Oryctolagus cuniculus: one gene and its partners. The protein of the gene in region 1 interacts with the protein of each later gene in a pairwise test. Links are inferred from orthologs where the notes say so. Each region holds a gene or a part of one and is shown in the gene's direction. Other genes may lie near its edges.

Region 1 (4,200 bases):
ATGTAAGAGCGCCGGTTCCAGTCCCAGCTGCCCCTCTTCCAGGCCAGCTCTCTGCTGTGGCCCGGGAGTGCAGAGGAGGATGGCCCAAGTGCTTGGGCCCTGCACCCCATGGGAGACCAGGAGAAGCACCTGGCTCCTGCCATCGGATCAGCGCGGTGCGCCAGCCGTTGTGGCCAACTAGGGAGTGAAGCAGTGGATGAAAGACCTCTCTCTCTCTGTCTCTCTCTGTAACTCTGACTTTCAAATAAAATAAATAAATCTTAAAATAAAGAAGACTCTCTATTCGTGTCAAGTAAACAATTTAACGACTGGGTTTTACAAGGAAGGGCCCCGATGGCCCAGACCTGACTGAAGTTCGGCCAAGCAGAGAATCCTGCCCCGTCCACAGAGAGAGCCCACTGGACACGGCCACAGGGCAGCCCCACAGAGCCAGCCTTCTTGCGCAGCTGCGGCTCTCTAACTCGAGGGCACCTCAGAAGCACCGGGAAGATTTTGGGCCCCCTCTGGGGGGCTTCGGGTGGAACGTGAGAAACCGCCTCCCCCAGACTCTAGGTCCCGAGGGTCTGGGGTCCCCACTTCAGCACAGCGCCCCCGAAACACAAGGCAGCTGCATGTGCAACTATGCTTTCTAGTGTCCATTGTATCAAAAAACACAAACTGGTGGCTGGGTTTTAATTATTTAACTTAACCTAAAACACCCAAAATACAATTTCAACATGTAACCAATAAAACATTACTTGGATTTTAAAAAAAGATTTATTTATTTGAAAGTCAGAATTACACAGAGGAGAGGCAGAGAGAGAGAAAGAGAGAGAGAGAGAGAGAGAGAGAGAGAGAGAGAGAGGTCTTCCATCCAATGGTTCACTCCCCAACTGGCTGCAACGGCCAGAGCTGTGCCGATCCAAGCCAGGAGCCAGGAGCCCCATCCAAGTCTCCCACGCGGGTGCAGGGGCCCAGGCACTTGGGCATCCCCCACTGCTTTCCCAGGCCACAGCAGAGAGCTGGATGGGAAGTAGAGCAGTCGGGACTTGAACCGACGCCGATGTGGGATGTGAGCGCCACAGGCGGCGGCTTTTCCCGCTAAGCCACAGCGCCGGCCCCATTACTGAGATATTTTACATTCCTTTTCCCCGCCAAGTCAGTTCTGGAGTGTTTCACCCTCGGAGCCCACCTCAGTGTGGACTGGTCCTCGCTCAGCGGTCCCACGCGGCCGGCGGTCCCACGCGGCAGGTGCAGGGCCGGGGACAGGCGCGCAGAACTACATCTCCCGGCATGCCTCGGCGCGCCCTGTGACGCACTTCCGCCACGGCGCAGCTGCCGGAGAACCACATCTCCCGGCATGCCCCGGGCAGTCGCCGCGTGACGCACTTCCTGCGCGGCGGCGGCGGCAGCGGCGGCGGCGGGAGCCAGGCGACGGCTCGGGCCGCGGCGAGTGACGGGCCGCGGGGCCGACGGGGGCCGGGCCGGGGCGGGGCGGCGGCGGCGGCGGCCCAGCCCAGGCGCGCGTGGGCAGCCGGGCCCCGCCCCCGCCCCGCCCGCCGCGGTGACCTTCACGGGCCCGGGCGGCGGGCGCAGGCCCGGGCGGCGGCGGCGCGATGTTCGTCCAGGAGGAGAAGATCTTCGCCGGCAAGGTGCTGCGGCTGCACATCTGCGCGGCCGACGGCGCCGAGTGGCAGGAGGAGGCGAGCGAGGACACGTCGGTGGAGCAGCTCAAGGAGCGCTGCCTGCGACACGTAAGGCCGGGCCCCCGCCGCGCGCGCCCCGCGCCCCGCCCCGCGCCCCCGCCCCGCGCCCCCGCCCCGCGCCCTGCCCCCGCACCGCGACCCCGCACCGCGACCCCGCACCGCGCCCTGCCCCGCACCGCGACCCCGCACCGCGACCCCGCACCGCGACCCCGCACCGCGCCCTGCCCGCCCTCGCGCGGCCCCGCACCGCCTCCCGCGCCGGGTCCCCCGGCGGACTGAGGCTCCCCCAGTGCCCGGCGGGCGTGGGTCAGCCCGGCTTGGCCACCTGCGCGCGCCCCTAAGCCGGAGGCCTGGGCTACGCGCAGAGACGCTTGCCCCGGGGAGGCGCGGGCGAGGCCCCCGTGCGCCCCGGCGCTCCCCCGCCTGGTGTTCGGACGCTTTGGGGCCTTCGGGCGTCCCTCGTGCGGCCAGCTGCGATGGCCGTCCGTCCCCGGCGGCAGCCCTTGCCGGATGCCCGGTGTCCCCCGGGAGCTGAGTTCCCACGTGCTGGCGGGGCCCTGCCGGGCTGAGTCGGGGCCAGCCGCCTGCCGTGGAGCCTGGGGAGGCGGCCCAGCCCTGGCCGCTGCCGGCGTCTGGGCCTGAGCCGGACGCGAGGGACGGGGGTCTCTCTCCGTCTGCCCCCCCCTTCAAGTGCAATGCGAATCCATGATTTCCTGACGAGGTGTGGCCGGTGCGGCTGCTGGCGGACTCCGGCCATCACCTGGCGCCCTCGGTGGAGGGCACGTGGGCCTCTGGTGGGAGCGGGTCAGCGCCCCTGCTCCGAGCCCCCCGCCCGGAACAAGGCCAGGAGGGGCTCCAGGCTCACTCGTCCCCGGGGTTTGGGCCCTGGCGTCCCTGTCTCCTGTCTGCCGTGTGGCTTCCGGGTCAGAGCCCCCACGGCTGTCCGGAGCGTCCACGCCGGGCAGCCAGGCCCAGAGTGTCACCTGGCTGGTGTGGTGGTCCTGGCAGTGTCCCCGCTGCCCCGGGAGGGAGGGACTTCTGGGCCCGGCTCCTCGGGAGCAGCTGTGCCAGGCGGGGTCGCTGGCCCCAGCGTCGCTGCCCGGAGTGGCGTGGGTGCTGAGGGAGCCGAGGGAGTGGCCGCTTGGGCGGCGTTTCTCGGTGGGGTGACGTCCACGGAGTTGGGTGTTACGGCGTTGGTGCTGTGACGGCGTTATCTCCAGCTCACAGACGCACGGCTGTGGGCGGCGCTCGGGGAGGGCTGGCAGCGGGCCCAGCGCGTGCGAGGGCAGGGGCGGGAGGTGGCCGTGGCCAGGGCCGGGCTGAGGCCTTGGCTTCTGTCCGGGGCGCCGGGTTGTGGGGGAAAGTGCTTCGTGGGCCATGTTCCGGACGGGCCGCGGCAGCTCGCCGGTGTCGGGTGGTGACCTTCCTGCGCAGGGGCCATCCGGACGTCTGTCACGTCACGCACGGGCCACGCGGGACTGTCAGCTGGAAGACAGGCTGCCGCGGTGTCGCCGGCTGTACTGTGGTCGTGCAGTGGTTCCGCAGGCCCGACGCCGCCCCCACGCGCCGCGCCAGCACGCGAGGGTCGCAGGAAGGTGTGGGGTCCTCTGCTGCGGGTGGCAGGCGTGCGTGCTGGGGCTCGTGGCTCGGTGGCTCGTGGCTCGTGGCAGCTCAGGCCCTCCCGATCCCTCAGTTGCGGCTCGTTGCAGTGCCCGGGCGGCCGCTGGGTGCCGCTGGGTGCCGCTGGGTGCCGCGGGGTGCCCGTGCTCACGTGTGTGCCTGCAGCCCCCGGGCTCTGGGCCTGTGGGGGGAGGGGGAGGCCACCAGGATGGCGCGGCAGGTCCCGGCGTGGGTGTGTCCTGGAGTGCACACGGCCCCCGCTGAGCCGGTGTTAGGAGAGCCCCCGGGGGCTGTGCCGCGGCGTCTCGCGCGCCCTCCGTCCCGGTGGGCCTTGGGGGTCTGCTGGAACAAGAGCCACCCCAGCAGGGCTCCCGCCCCAGGCTCGGGGGCCCCTCTGGGAAGCGGGGGTTCCGCTCGGTCGCCGGCCGTGCCGTGTGGTGCGTAGGGCCCGAGGGGCCGTGCCGGGCGTCGCCGTGTGCTCACATCGGATGGCCCTGTCCGGCCGCCAGCAGAGCGGTGCTGGGTGCGCGTGCGCCCTGGACAGCTGTGCCCTGTGTGAGGCAGGAGGCCGCTGTGGCTTCCGGAGCCTTCAGGTCACAGGTGGGGCAGGATGGGGGAGCGCGTGTGCCGCCTCACTGCGTGCTGAGGGGCCGGGTCCCGCTCCTCCTGCCCGGGCTGCCCAGGTGCTCTGGGTGTCAGGGCCCTGGAGGCCCTGTGGGCCGCCTGCAGTGCCAGCATCTCATATGGGCACTGGTTCGAGACCCGCCTGCTCCATTTCCCATCCAGCTCTCTGCTGTGGCCTGGGAAAGCAGAGGAAGATGGCCAAGTCCTTGGGCCCCTGCACCCGCGTGGGAGACCTGGAAGAAGCTCCTGGCTCCTGGCTTTGGATTGGCAC
Region 2 (3,559 bases), on another chromosome or scaffold:
CCAATGACTGTGATTTGTTTTACAGATATTTTCCAACGATGGCCAGTTCAAAAGTCGTTTTGGTATACGAGGCCGCTCTCCCGGGCAACTGCAGCGGCCCACGGGGGTCGCCGTGCACCCTAGTGGGGACATCATCATTGCCGACTATGATAATAAATGGGTTAGCATTTTCTCTTCAGATGGGAAGTTCAAGGTAAGGTTGACCAACAGTTGGCCCCTGAACAGTAGTGAGAAGGAACAGGAAACGACAGAATTGTCTTTTGCTTCTTTAAGTTCCACATTATTGTTCAGCAATTCCGTATGCACAAAGACATCTTGTCATCTAAGCGTTACGAAGTGAGAGCCACAAGGCCGATTTCATAGATCTGCTCATATCATGTCTCCTAACTGTGACTTTGTGTTATACAGCAGTGTGAGATTTTCGGTCATTTTCTTAAACCACAGATTTATAGAGGAAGTTCCTGTTACTCATCCAACCTTTTGAAAAGGGTTAAGAGGCAGTTTATATTTTTCAAGTTAACCTGCAGTTGTCACTTGTGAGATCCCCTGTCTTTTCTCAGATGACAGAGAAGAAATAGAATTGTAAGGCGCAGTTCCTGCCCTTTAACTGCACAGGCTCATTGTGGAAGAAAGGCTAATGCACAGGACAGTTCATGTCAGCCTGCAAACAAATGGGTGTAACCTAAAGCCGCAGCGGTAGAGTGTGTGGTAGCAGGGGTTGGAAGGGAAAGAAAATCGAGCCTTAGTTCAGCGAGAAAAGTGTGAGCTGAGCTTGACCTTGAGGGCTCTCATCATTTGATGTGTTTGGTGTTCCTGCCACCATCGACTGTATGGAAATGCAAAACCAGCTTCTGTTTCCCCAGCAAGTAAATATCTGTCTCCTAGAACTTGAGTAGAGTCTAAGTGAGGTTTTATTTCAGGGTGCTGTGTGTCTCATCCAAAACAGGCAGCTAAGCCATGTTCCTTTGCATGCCTCTAGTAACCCTGTCTAAAAAAGGAAGTCTTCTGGATCAGCTGGGATTCAGGCTTCCTGACCCCTGGTGTTACTTCCTAAAGGCCAGAGATGCTGCTTTTCATAAGTCATCCTGGAATCCTGATGACTCCATGAGCTCATTCAATAGACTGTTCACTTGATCTTAGCCAAAAGGCCAGGAAGTGATCGACAGACTCTTACAAGAGCAATTTATATTTTCCTTTCTAACATCTTTGGCTCACTATGGTCACCTCATTGCTTTTATTAAATGAGTTACTTCCATCATTGGTAACCCTCAGATTGGAGCCTCTGGTTTGTGTGGGGTAACATCTTCTCAGTCTAGGAGAGCAAAAAGCTGTCGTTTTGAGTTCCATAATATTGCTCATACTTTTTCAATTGCCCTTGAAGTTTTTGTTCCACTAGAAATCTGATGGCTCCGTGGGTTGGCCATGTATACAGAAAGATCTCCTGCCTCTGTATCCCAAACTTCCTCCCCTTGTTCTGTGTTTTCATAATTGCATTGGTGCTAAGACATACCCAAATAGGACAGCTTTAATAGGAAAATTATTCAAGTGATATCTTGAAAGCATTTGTGTGGTTTAGAAGCAAGCCACTTGTTCCTGTTTCATACTCTATCAAAGCCACCAGTCTATAAATTCAGTAGCTTATGCTAAAAACAGGCTTTGCATATTGAGATAACAGTTTTATATCCAAGAGACCTCTCAGAATTAATCGTTTTTCATTCAGTGGTTCGTTAGTCGGCCAGTAATGGACATACTTCTTGGAAGAACTGGATTCTTAAGGTTGGAATACTATGGCTTTTAACTGGAATAAACACAAAGCACCCCACATCCCCAGAGGATTGGGGAGATGGAAATGGTATAGTTTCTGCAGCACCCTTTCTTACGATGGGTGTTGACCAAAACCCCAAGCGAGGGTAGAAGCACCGCAGGTGGAAACACTTTAGTACCATAGCAGGAGTTCATCCACGGGCAATGTCCATGCCACTAAATACCCAGAGATACTTGTTTTCTTCTTGGGTGGCACTTTGTAAAATTAAGCAGGTGCTGGGAAAGACATGCCTTTACCACCAACTCAGATTATTTCTGTTTGCTCCTAATGGTTCCAGAGATGGAACGCCTTGTCCCCTTCTCTTCCTTTTACTCCCCAGTTTTTTAGCTTCCCTTTTCATTCCTCTCTGCCTCCTCAAGTTCTTCTCCCTTCCTCTTGCTTCCTGACATGTCTTCCAGCTCATCTCGGAACCTTTTGTGATCAGAACAAATACAGAGGCCTCAAGCAGCCACCATTTTCTAAATGATCCCTTTCCTCTTCAATTTATAAACCTCTTTGTTGAGTTCAGCACTCTGATTCTTGACCGTTCCAAAGCCAGAGGCTAAGACATTTTTGTGTGCTGTTCTGTTTTAAGGTGGGAAACAGAGGCAGGCCAAAGGCAGTGATTCTGATTACACTTGGTAGGATCCACTGTGGCTAAACTAGGAGTGATGGAGGGAGAAGGAAAAGGAGTTTTGGTTAAGTGTTTAAGTTGTTCTTTTTATATGTCCTACCTGTTACTACACCACCATGTGATAGAATGGAAGTCGTCCTTTATTTTCTGTTTTTATTCTAGATGATTATCCATTCTGAGGAACTGCTTAAGTCCCTGATGCTAGGTGGTGATCATATGCTTAGTTTTTTTTTTTTAAAGAATTATTTTATATATTTTGAAAGACAGAGAGTTACAGAGAGAAGTAGAGCCAGAGAGAGGGAGAGAGAGAAGGATCTTCCATTCTGCTGTTTCACTCCCCATATGACTGCAGTGGCCAGAGCTGAGCTGATCCAAAGCCAGGAGCCAGGAACTTCTTCCAGGTCTCCCATGTGGGTGCAGGGGCCCAAGGACTTGGACCATCTTCTACTGCTTTCCCAGGCCATAGCAAAGAGCTGGATTGGAAGAGGAGCTGCCAGGACTCGAAACAGCACCCATAAGGGATGCCGGCACTGCAGGCGGGGGCTTTAACCTGCTGCGCCACAGCACCAGCCCCTATATGCTTAGTTTCAATAATCAGAGTGCCACCTCTTCCTTCTGACCTCTTACATTCCGGCAAGAATGTTCTCACAGAGCCCTTTCTTTACCTGCCGTCGTGTGACGAACAAGTGACAGTAACAGGATGGTCTCCTGGCCTCTGATCTTGGGGCTGGAGAACACAGAATCAGAGTCAGTGTTACACAGCAGATGTCCTTGCTGAGAAACCCCTTGTTCTCTCCTAGGTGACCATGTCGCTTTGCTCTCACAAGATCATATCTGGATCTCGCTCGTTTGTAAACTTACAAGAGTAAAGGGTGATACAGAGTCATTCTCTCCCCACTGTAGGAAAGCCCTCATTCCTGAATTACAAAATTTAAAACTACCTCTGTGGCTCATGTTCTGCTTCCATCAGACAGAGCTGATGCAGAGAGGAAACAGAAGGTCTAAAGAAGAAACTTCTGGGGCCGGCACTGTGATGCAGCGGGTTAACGCTGTGGCTTGCAGTGCCGGCATCCTATATGGATGCTGGTTCGAGACCCAGCTGTTCCTCCTCTGATTCAGCT
Region 3 (4,209 bases), on another chromosome or scaffold:
CAAGTCCTTGGGCCCCGCCTTCGTAAGGGATACCAGCGTGGCCACCACACAGCCTGCAGGTCTGTCCGTTTGCCACCGCCTCCTCCCCCTCCCCGACCGTACCAGTCTGCCAGCACGGTCTGCCATTTAGACTCCTGCAGTAGCCCCAGACCGGCCTTCCTGCTTCTCCCCGGCCCTCTCTACACTCTCCCAGCAGCCGGAGACACCACTCACGCCCCTGCTCCCCGCGGGGAACACCTGGATGCTGCAGCCCTGGGGGGGAGGGAGGACACATGCCTGTGCAGGGCCTCTGCCCCTACTTTTATTTACTTGAACGAAAGAGTTAGGCAGAGACAGAGAGAGAGGTCTTCCATCTGCTGGTTCATTCCCCAGATGGCCTCAACGGCCGGAGCTGAGCCGATCCGCAGCCGGGAGCCAGGAGCTTCCTCCGAGTCTCCCACATTAGCAGGGAGCTGGGTCGGCAGTGGAGCGGCCAGGCCTCAAACCAGCGCCCGTATGGGACGCCAGCGCCGCAGGCCGGGGCTTTAACCCTCCAGCCCCTCTCTCCTTGTTTTTTAAGTATTTTATCTGACAGGCAACGTTACAGTGAGGAGGGGAGACAGCCATTTCCCACCCGCGGGCCCACTCCCAAAATGGCGGCAGCGGAAGCCAAGAGCTCCATCCGGGTCTCCCACGTGGCCGGTAGGGGCACGAGCACTTCCGGGAAGCAGGAGAAAGGAATGCTGGGTCGGAAGTGGGGCCGCCCGGACTCGCGCGGGAAGCTGAGTGCGCCACAGCGGCCCCTCCCCGCTTCCAGATCATTCTATGGAGGTGTTCTTAGCCCGGGTGGTCCCCACGGCTCAAGCCCTCACCGCCTTCAAAGTTTTGGCTCAAACACCTGCTTTTCTGGGGGAAATGGCTTTCTCCAGCCACCCACACTACCCCTTCTCATTGCTTTATTTATTTATTATTGCTTTATGTATTCCCCCCACCCTCCTTGGGTTGAATTGCGGCCTCAACACACCCTGCCTGAGTCAGTCTTGTTAGTTAGTTCTTGGCCGCCCAACTAAAACGTCACAGTATTCCTCAAGTATGGCACCCGCCATTCCTACGAACAGCGCCCAGCACGCACGCAGCCGTCAGGGCACTTCGCGAGGAAGCGATGGGCGACTTACCAAAGGCGGGGGCTGCAAATAAGCGGGCACCTGGCCCTCCCACGGCCACCTGCCCTCCAATCCCTTCCTCTCCACCGAGAGGGGTCGAGCAGGGGGCCTCCCGTCCTTTCGTCCTCCCGCCTCGTGGGGGAGTCGAGGCCCCGCGGGCGGCCCGCCGCAGGGGGGCGCGGCTAGGCGGCCCTCTCTATGGTCTCTCCTCCCCAGCGCCCCGCGTGCCTCTATGGTTCTTCCTGTCAGCAGTCGGGAGGGGGCGCTGTGCGCAGGCGCGAGGTGACGCCGCGGCAGGGCCGGAAGGAGCGCGGCGGCGGCGGCGGTGGCGGTGGCGGACCTGTCGGCGGTAGAGCCAGCTGACTGAACGCCGCGGCGGCGGGCGGCCGGGCGAGCTCGCGTCGCGAGCCGGCGAGGTGGGTGGCGAGGCCGGCTTGGCCGCGGGGCCTGAGGCGAGGCGGCCTGTCTGCCCGCCGCCCGGTGGGAGTCCCTGTGGGAGTGGGGGCGGGGGCCAGGGCCGCGAGGGGCTGGCTGTGAGGGCGGCCGGGCCGAGGGGGCGCGGGCCGGGGTCTGGGCCCGGCTCAGGACGCCGCCGAGCCGCTGGAGCCGGGGCTGGAGCGGGCGGAAGGGCTGCGGGCGTCCGGGCGCCCCGCTCCCGCCACTTCGGGAAGTTTGCGCGGGGCGGCCCGCGCGTCTGTTTCGGGGGTCCTCGCTCCGCCGGTCCCGGGCTGGAACCCGCGGGGTCCGTGCAGCCGCGCGCGCGGCCTCGGCCGGCCGGAGGAGGCGGACCGCGACTTTGAACCCTGCTCCCCGCAGCCCCCGGGTGCCGACCTTTCGCCGTCGGTCCCGGGATCTCGGCGGAAGTTGGCGCCTGTCACCGAGCGGGGCCGGGGTCCCGGGGCGGCGCGGGGCGCGCGGGCGGCCCGGCCCCGAGACAGCTCTGGCCTCTGCTGTGGAGCCTGGCGGCCGCTCCGAACCGGTGCCAGCTCCAGTCGTCGCGGTCGGCGACTTGGGGGCAGTCGTCCTTGGGGATTCGACCGTGCAGACAGAACATCGTCTCCGTGCCCTGGAAGGAGGCGGGAAGAGGACAGGGAAAAGCCCCCGGCCTCTTCCCGACTTGGGGAGGTCGCCTAAGCAGTGGCCTCCGTGGCTTTGCCTTGTGTCCGGTTAATTCACTGTGCCCTGTGGGTAGGGCATGGTGGTGAGTTGGAGGAGCAGGCTGGCGGGCTTAGGGCAGAGTTTGCACCCCTGCGTAACCCTCGCTAGACGCTGCACACAGGGACCCCTCTGAAGAGAGAGCTGTTGAGTGGCTCTGTGAGTTAACCCGCTGCAGGCGTCCTGTACGGGCACCAGTTGGAGTCCCGGCTGCTCCACTTCCGATCCAGTTCCCTGCTGTGGCCTGGGGAAGCAGCAGAGGGTGGCCCAGGTCGTCGGGCCCCTGCACCTGCGTGGGAGACCCGGAGGAGTCTGGCTCCTGCCTCCCTGCTCAAACCCTGGCTGTTGTGGCCATTTGGGGAGTCAACCAGCAGATAGAATCTCTTTGTCTCTTCCTCTGTCATTGTAACTCTAACTTTCAAATAAGTAAATCGTAAAAAAAAAAAAACCTTTGAAGGCCTTGTAGTAAAGTCTAATGATTTGGGTTCTGACTCGGAGACTGAAAGCATACAGATAGGATGGGCGGGAGAGGAGTGTTTGCTGACGGGAGGATGAGCTAGTATTGATTACGCTCACTAGTGGAGTCTTGGTTTACTTCAGGCTAGAGTTTTTTTTTTTTTTTTTTTTTTTTTTGGACAGGCAGAGCTAGAGAGAGACAGAGAGAAAGGTCTTCCTTTGCCGTTGGTTCACCCTCCAATGGCCACTGCGGCCGGCGCACCGTGTTGATCCGATGGCAGGAGCCAGGTGCTTCTCCTGGTCTCCCATGGGGTGCAGGGCCCAAGCACTTGGGCCATCCTCCACTGCCTTCCCCGGGCCACAGCAGAGAGCTGGCCTGGAAGAGGAGCAGCTGGGACAGACTCTGGCCCCCTAACCGGGACTAGAACCCGGGGTGCCGGCGCTGCAGGTGGAGGATTAGCCTAGTGAGCCGTGGCGCCAGCTAGTTTTTTATTATTATTTGAAAGGTGTAATGACAGAGATCTTCCATCCATTGTTTTTGCCAACTGGCTGGGGCAGGCTGAAGCCAGGAGCCAGAAACTCCATCCTGGTCTCCTACGTGGGTGGCAGGTGCCCAAGTACTTGGGCCATCTGCTGCTGCTTTTCCAGGTGCCTTAGCAGGGTGCTGGATTGGAAGTGTCGTGGGACTTGAACAGGCGTCTGACGTAGGTTGCCAGTGTCACAGTTTAACCCACTGCAGCACACTGCTGGCCCCATTATCTTTATTTAATATATTTTTTTAAATACCTATTTGAAAGGCGTGCTTACAGAGAGGAGAGACAGATCTTCCACCTGCTGGTTTACTACCCAGGTGACAGCAACAGCCAGGATTGGGCCAGGCCAAAGCCAGGAGCTTCATCCGAGTCTCCTACATGGGAGGTGGTAGGGGCCCAAACACTTGGACCATCTTCCGCTGCTTTCACAGGCCGTTAGCGTGGAGCTGGATCATAAGTGGAGCAGCCTGGTCTTGAACCTACTATGCACAACACTGGCCTCATTGTCTATTTCTAAGGGGAAGAAACTAAGATGTTGAAAACAGCTTACTTGGTCACATTGAAGGTCAGGGTCAGGACTTGAATTCAGTGTTTCCGGAGTCTTTCACTAGTTGTCCATCTGTACCTGTGAATGCTGCCTATTCACAAAGTGTTGCCAAAGTGGCAGCGTTGTGCTTGGCACCGTGCTGTGTCCTGGGGCGAGAAACATGAATCAAACAGATGATCCCGCCTTCTTGGAAGGTTTAGCATGGAGAGCCGTGGTGAGCAGTGTCCTGAGTGACCGAGTGACATTTCTACTGTGCTAAGTACTTTGGACAGCTGAGGGATGCTGTATGAGTTCACGGAGCGGGCGGCGGTGTACGGAGGGGAATAGGAAAGGGTTTTCTCTGAGGAAGTGAAGGGCTGAAGGGTGAGTGGATTTA
Region 4 (4,026 bases), on another chromosome or scaffold:
TTGACCCCCTCGCACTCTTGTGTGAGACCGGGAATCATCTCCTATTAGATGCTGTTGTGCTCTCCCTCTCTGGGACTCTATCTTTAAAATAAACAAATACATTTTTTAAAAATGCCTGAGATTGAAGATGAGAGCAGATAATTCAACTGAGGTCTTCTAGCTGGTAAAACGTCTCAGTAGAAATTTGCACCTTAGAGACTTGCATCCATATCCCCAGATGGGTCTCCCCGAATGCAACCAAGCTTTCCCAACTACAATATGTACAAATGTCCCCTGGCTTATTATATTTATTGTGCAGATGATTTCTGGCCAGTCTGTACCTGAGGAAACATTCTAACCTGATGGGATTTTAAATGAGTGAAAAAGAAAGAAAGGTGGGGAGGTGTTCCAAATTAGAGAGGCATTTTGAATAAATCATTGATGGCAACAGGCTCTCACGGGAACCCCGGTTGAATCGCTTAGGTTCTCCTGGACCTGTTTTCTCACCTGTAAATGAGCTATTTGTACCTAATGACACTCTTCCCAGTTCCCTTCTGGCTGGGTCATTCTATAATTCTAAGAGAGAAGGCTCCGGCCTCCAGCTACCTTGACTTTGCTGGGTGGGCTCCCAGGTGATTGCATTCAAGTGAGAAGCAGCTGAACTACGCCAGCGAAAACCTACTGCAGAGCTAAGCAGGGAAAAAAATGAAGGAGGGAGACGGGAAAGTGGCCAACGACGCCTGGCGAAGGAGACACAAACTGTATGCAAATAGCTCAGACCACCAACGGGTCCGTAGCGTGCACCAGGCAGAGCCGAGTGCTGCCCCGGTAGGATGCAGGAGGACATCGCTCCCCGTCTCTCGGCGCTCCCAGTGCCCGGAGCGTACGCTTCGTATTTGCGCGTGGAATGCGAACTTCCACCACTGCTAGAAGCCCTGAATGTGAGAAACGTAGGAAAAACGGAGGATCGAAAAAAAATTTTTTTGGGGGGGGAACCATTCGAGGGTGCCAGGAGCCACGCGAAAAGGCGGTCTCTGGAAACCAGCGGTATAGGCCGGCAGCGGAGGGACACGAGTTGTCCACGCCGCGCCCCCTCCCCAGCCCAAACCCCACGCACAAAACAAACGGCCGCAGCCGTCGGGAGGAGGCGCAGCTCCTCCTCCCAGTCCGCACAGCGGCCCCGCTGCAGCGCCCTCGCCGCCCGCCGCCCCCGCCTCGGTCCCTCGGGCCTCGGAAGTGACGCAGCGCGCCCCGCCCCCGCCGCCAGATCCGCTGCTGCTGCCGCGGCGGGCGGATCTGCAGGAGGCGGCAGCGGCGGCGGCGGCCGAGGCCGAGGGAAGATGGCGGACGGTGTGGACCACATAGACATTTACGCGGATGTGGGCGAAGAGTTCAACCAGGTACGTGTGGGCCTGGGCCCGCGCCGCCGACGCGGGCGACGCTGCGGCCTGGACGCCGCGCCGGGGGCCCGCCGCGGGCCGCGAGCCGACGCTGCTGCAGACCGTGCGCCCTTGCCGCCACTCGGCCCCGGCGCCCCCCTCGCCCCCTCGTTCTACCGCGTCGTTTCGCGGGCCGCGGGCGCTGCGAGCCGCCGCAGGGCCTGGAGCGCGGTCGCGGGCCGCCGTGCAGGCGCCGCTGGCCCCTCCCTCGCCGCCGCGGCCTCGGGGCTCCCCATTGTTGGCGGCGGCCGGCGAGCGCTTTCCCGCCGCGCTAGGCCCGGGCGGCGGGGCCCGCGTGTGCGCGGCGGGGAGAACGGGCCGCCGCGCCCCCTCCCCCGCCGCCGGCTGGAAGAGGAAGCCCCGGCGGGGCGCGCGCCCGCCGCCCCTGCCGCCCCTGCCGCCTCTTCCCCGGCCGGGCCGCTCGGGCTCCGATTCCTCCCGTCGCTCCATTTTGTCTCGCTGTCCGCGCACGGCCGCCTCATGGAAGGCCGCGTTCACGACCCTTTGTATTCCGCGCGCCCCGTCTCCGGGACGCTCCCGGCCGCTTTCGGCGTGGCGCCCTCCTCCTCGTGCCCGTCCCACTTGGTGCAGGCGCCGTCGGTGCCAGCACGTTTGCAACAAGTCTTTGGATTTGGGGCGCCCGCCGCTTGCGTGCAAAAGCCCGTGCCCTGTTAATAACAGAGGAGCTTGCAGTGCATCCTAGTCTCAGCCGTTCTGGGCCTTTGTGTTGAAAATAGCCGCGGAGATAAGTGGCTGGGGCCGCGACCAGGAATTGGAGGCGCGCAGTGGGGTTTGGATGAAACAAAAAGATGGTTGCTCACGCCCAGATGAGCGTGATGAAGACGTAGACAAGGTGTAGTTTCAAAATACGGAGTGCGAGGTGGGACCCTGTTTTCGGAGGCTCGTGGTTGATCCCCCACCCCACCCCCGCCCGGGCTCTGCTTAGGGTTTGAAAGGCTGCAGGAGGAGCCGGCCAGGTTTTCCAGTGTCCCATCGGACACGGTTGCCCGCGAGAACCAACTGGCCAAGCATCCTGGGAAAGGAACTCGTTTGTTGCTGGAGTAGTGACGTTTGAGCTCCGAGCCTGCGTTTTCTCTAGTCTCATTTTTTTTTTTTTAAATACATGTATAGTGCCCAACTGCAGTGCACCCTAAAAGCTTTTTTTTATGTCTTCCAGGTCCGCATACGAAGTTTTAATATCCCCATGGTTAAAGTGGTTTTTTTTTGTTTTGTTTTGTTTTCTCTTTCCCTCCATTAACAGTTTTACAAATATGCAGACTCAGAATTACTGTTCTGTATCTTAGGAATGACTGTGTCTCTGGTTTAAGTATTAGAAAAGATATTTCCAAGTGGCTTTAAGTGTTTCCTATGCTGTTAAAGACTGTATGTGTTTAAATGTAACCCATTGTAGTCAAATGTGAAGTTTGAAAATGTGTTTTTTTTTTAAAACTATGCTTACGGTTTGAATACATGATGCCAATTACAGGTTAGAAAATTTCCTTGGGCTACACAGTGTTTTAAAGTTGGTAGACAAAGACCTCTAGGAAGTGTCTTTTATTTATCCAACGAGTATAACATTGCATCCAAAAGAGGGCCTGTAACTGCAAGCAAAGGAGCAGTTAAGTTCAAGACTATCTTGGTTGAAGAAAATACATTGCTTCACCTTGCTACGCACAGTGAAGGAAGAATTGCATGATTTAGAAACTGAGCTTTCTTCAGTGCCTCTTCATGAAATATTTTTAGGCTTTTTCATACTTAATTTATGAAAGACTTCTCGCTTATCCAGATAACTGGATGGAGTGATACTTTCTTATCCTTGTGCAGTAACTAGTGTTGAGTAAGCAGGAGGTAAGACATAAAATTTTGTGGACCTACTTTATAGATTGGCTTCTGATCTGCCTGTTGTGGTAATTCTGGTGCACAAAATGACCACGGAAGAGTTGTTGGGCATTTCCAATGGGGAAAAAAATCTTCAAAATAATTTTTCGAAATCTTATTAAAATTAAAGGTAACCACAACAGTTTTTGTGATGGGTTTATTTCATCTGTACTCCGTTATGAACCAGTTACCTTGTTTCTACTAATGGCTTGTAGTAAACTATGACATTTGATTGATAGAATGTTGTACAGTACTGATTTAACCAGTCTTTATTTTGGCTCCTATGTTGCTGTAAACATTTATAAAAATCTTTGTTTTTCCGTTGTGAACTGCAGTTTTAATGGCATTTGTATACTTTGGGATTATGTGTTGTCTGTATATTTTCCATTTTCTTGTTTTAACTGGTCATAGCTTTTATGAAATTTGTCGTCGTTTTTATGTTGCTAACGTTACTTTCACACAGTGAGACTTTCAGCAATCCTAGAAGAAACTTTATTTTGTTTGGGGATGGGGTGAAAATAAGTTAGTGAAATTGTAGTAGAGTTTCTTCTCCAGATGAATTTAAGACTAGAGAATGAAGAGGAGAAGGCACAAGGGACCCGGCTATTTTTCATGGGTGCTCTGCAGTTCTTAAATTGAAGGTCTTTGGATGTCACCGTATTGAGAGCATTTACTTCAGTCGAAGGAGAATTTGAATTACTTTCCTTTTTTAAAGAAGATTATTTATTTG

Evidence for each region.
Region 2: the proteins of UBAC1 (region 1) and TRIM2 interact in binary tests that used the Homo sapiens proteins (3 or more experiments, as listed by UniProt). The link is inferred for Oryctolagus cuniculus from reciprocal best matches to the Homo sapiens genes UBAC1 and TRIM2.
Region 3: the proteins of UBAC1 (region 1) and RNF216 interact in binary tests that used the Homo sapiens proteins (3 or more experiments, as listed by UniProt). The link is inferred for Oryctolagus cuniculus from reciprocal best matches to the Homo sapiens genes UBAC1 and RNF216.
Region 4: the proteins of UBAC1 (region 1) and CPSF6 interact in a two-hybrid assay, tested with the Homo sapiens proteins (2 studies listed by BioGRID and IntAct). The link is inferred for Oryctolagus cuniculus from reciprocal best matches to the Homo sapiens genes UBAC1 and CPSF6.

What each region holds. Positions count from the first base shown.
Region 1 is NC_091432.1:236,896,782-236,900,981, forward strand, and holds the start of UBAC1 (ubiquitin-associated domain-containing protein 1), read left to right. Parts: upstream 1-1,392; 5' UTR 1,393-1,595; coding exon 1,596-1,733; intron 1,734-4,200.
Region 2 is NC_091439.1:9,697,046-9,700,604, forward strand, and holds part of TRIM2 (tripartite motif-containing protein 2), read left to right. Parts: intron 1-25; coding exon 26-193; intron 194-3,559. UniProt on the Homo sapiens protein: UBE2D1-dependent E3 ubiquitin-protein ligase that mediates the ubiquitination of NEFL and of phosphorylated BCL2L11. Plays a neuroprotective function. May play a role in neuronal rapid ischemic tolerance.
Region 3 is NC_091450.1:39,630,297-39,634,505, reverse strand, and holds the start of RNF216 (E3 ubiquitin-protein ligase RNF216), read left to right. Parts: upstream 1-1,395; 5' UTR 1,396-1,558; intron 1,559-4,209.
Region 4 is NC_091442.1:71,555,842-71,559,867, forward strand, and holds the start of CPSF6 (cleavage and polyadenylation specificity factor subunit 6), read left to right. Parts: upstream 1-1,221; 5' UTR 1,222-1,319; coding exon 1,320-1,379; intron 1,380-4,026. UniProt on the Homo sapiens protein: Component of the cleavage factor Im (CFIm) complex that functions as an activator of the pre-mRNA 3'-end cleavage and polyadenylation processing required for the maturation of pre-mRNA into functional mRNAs.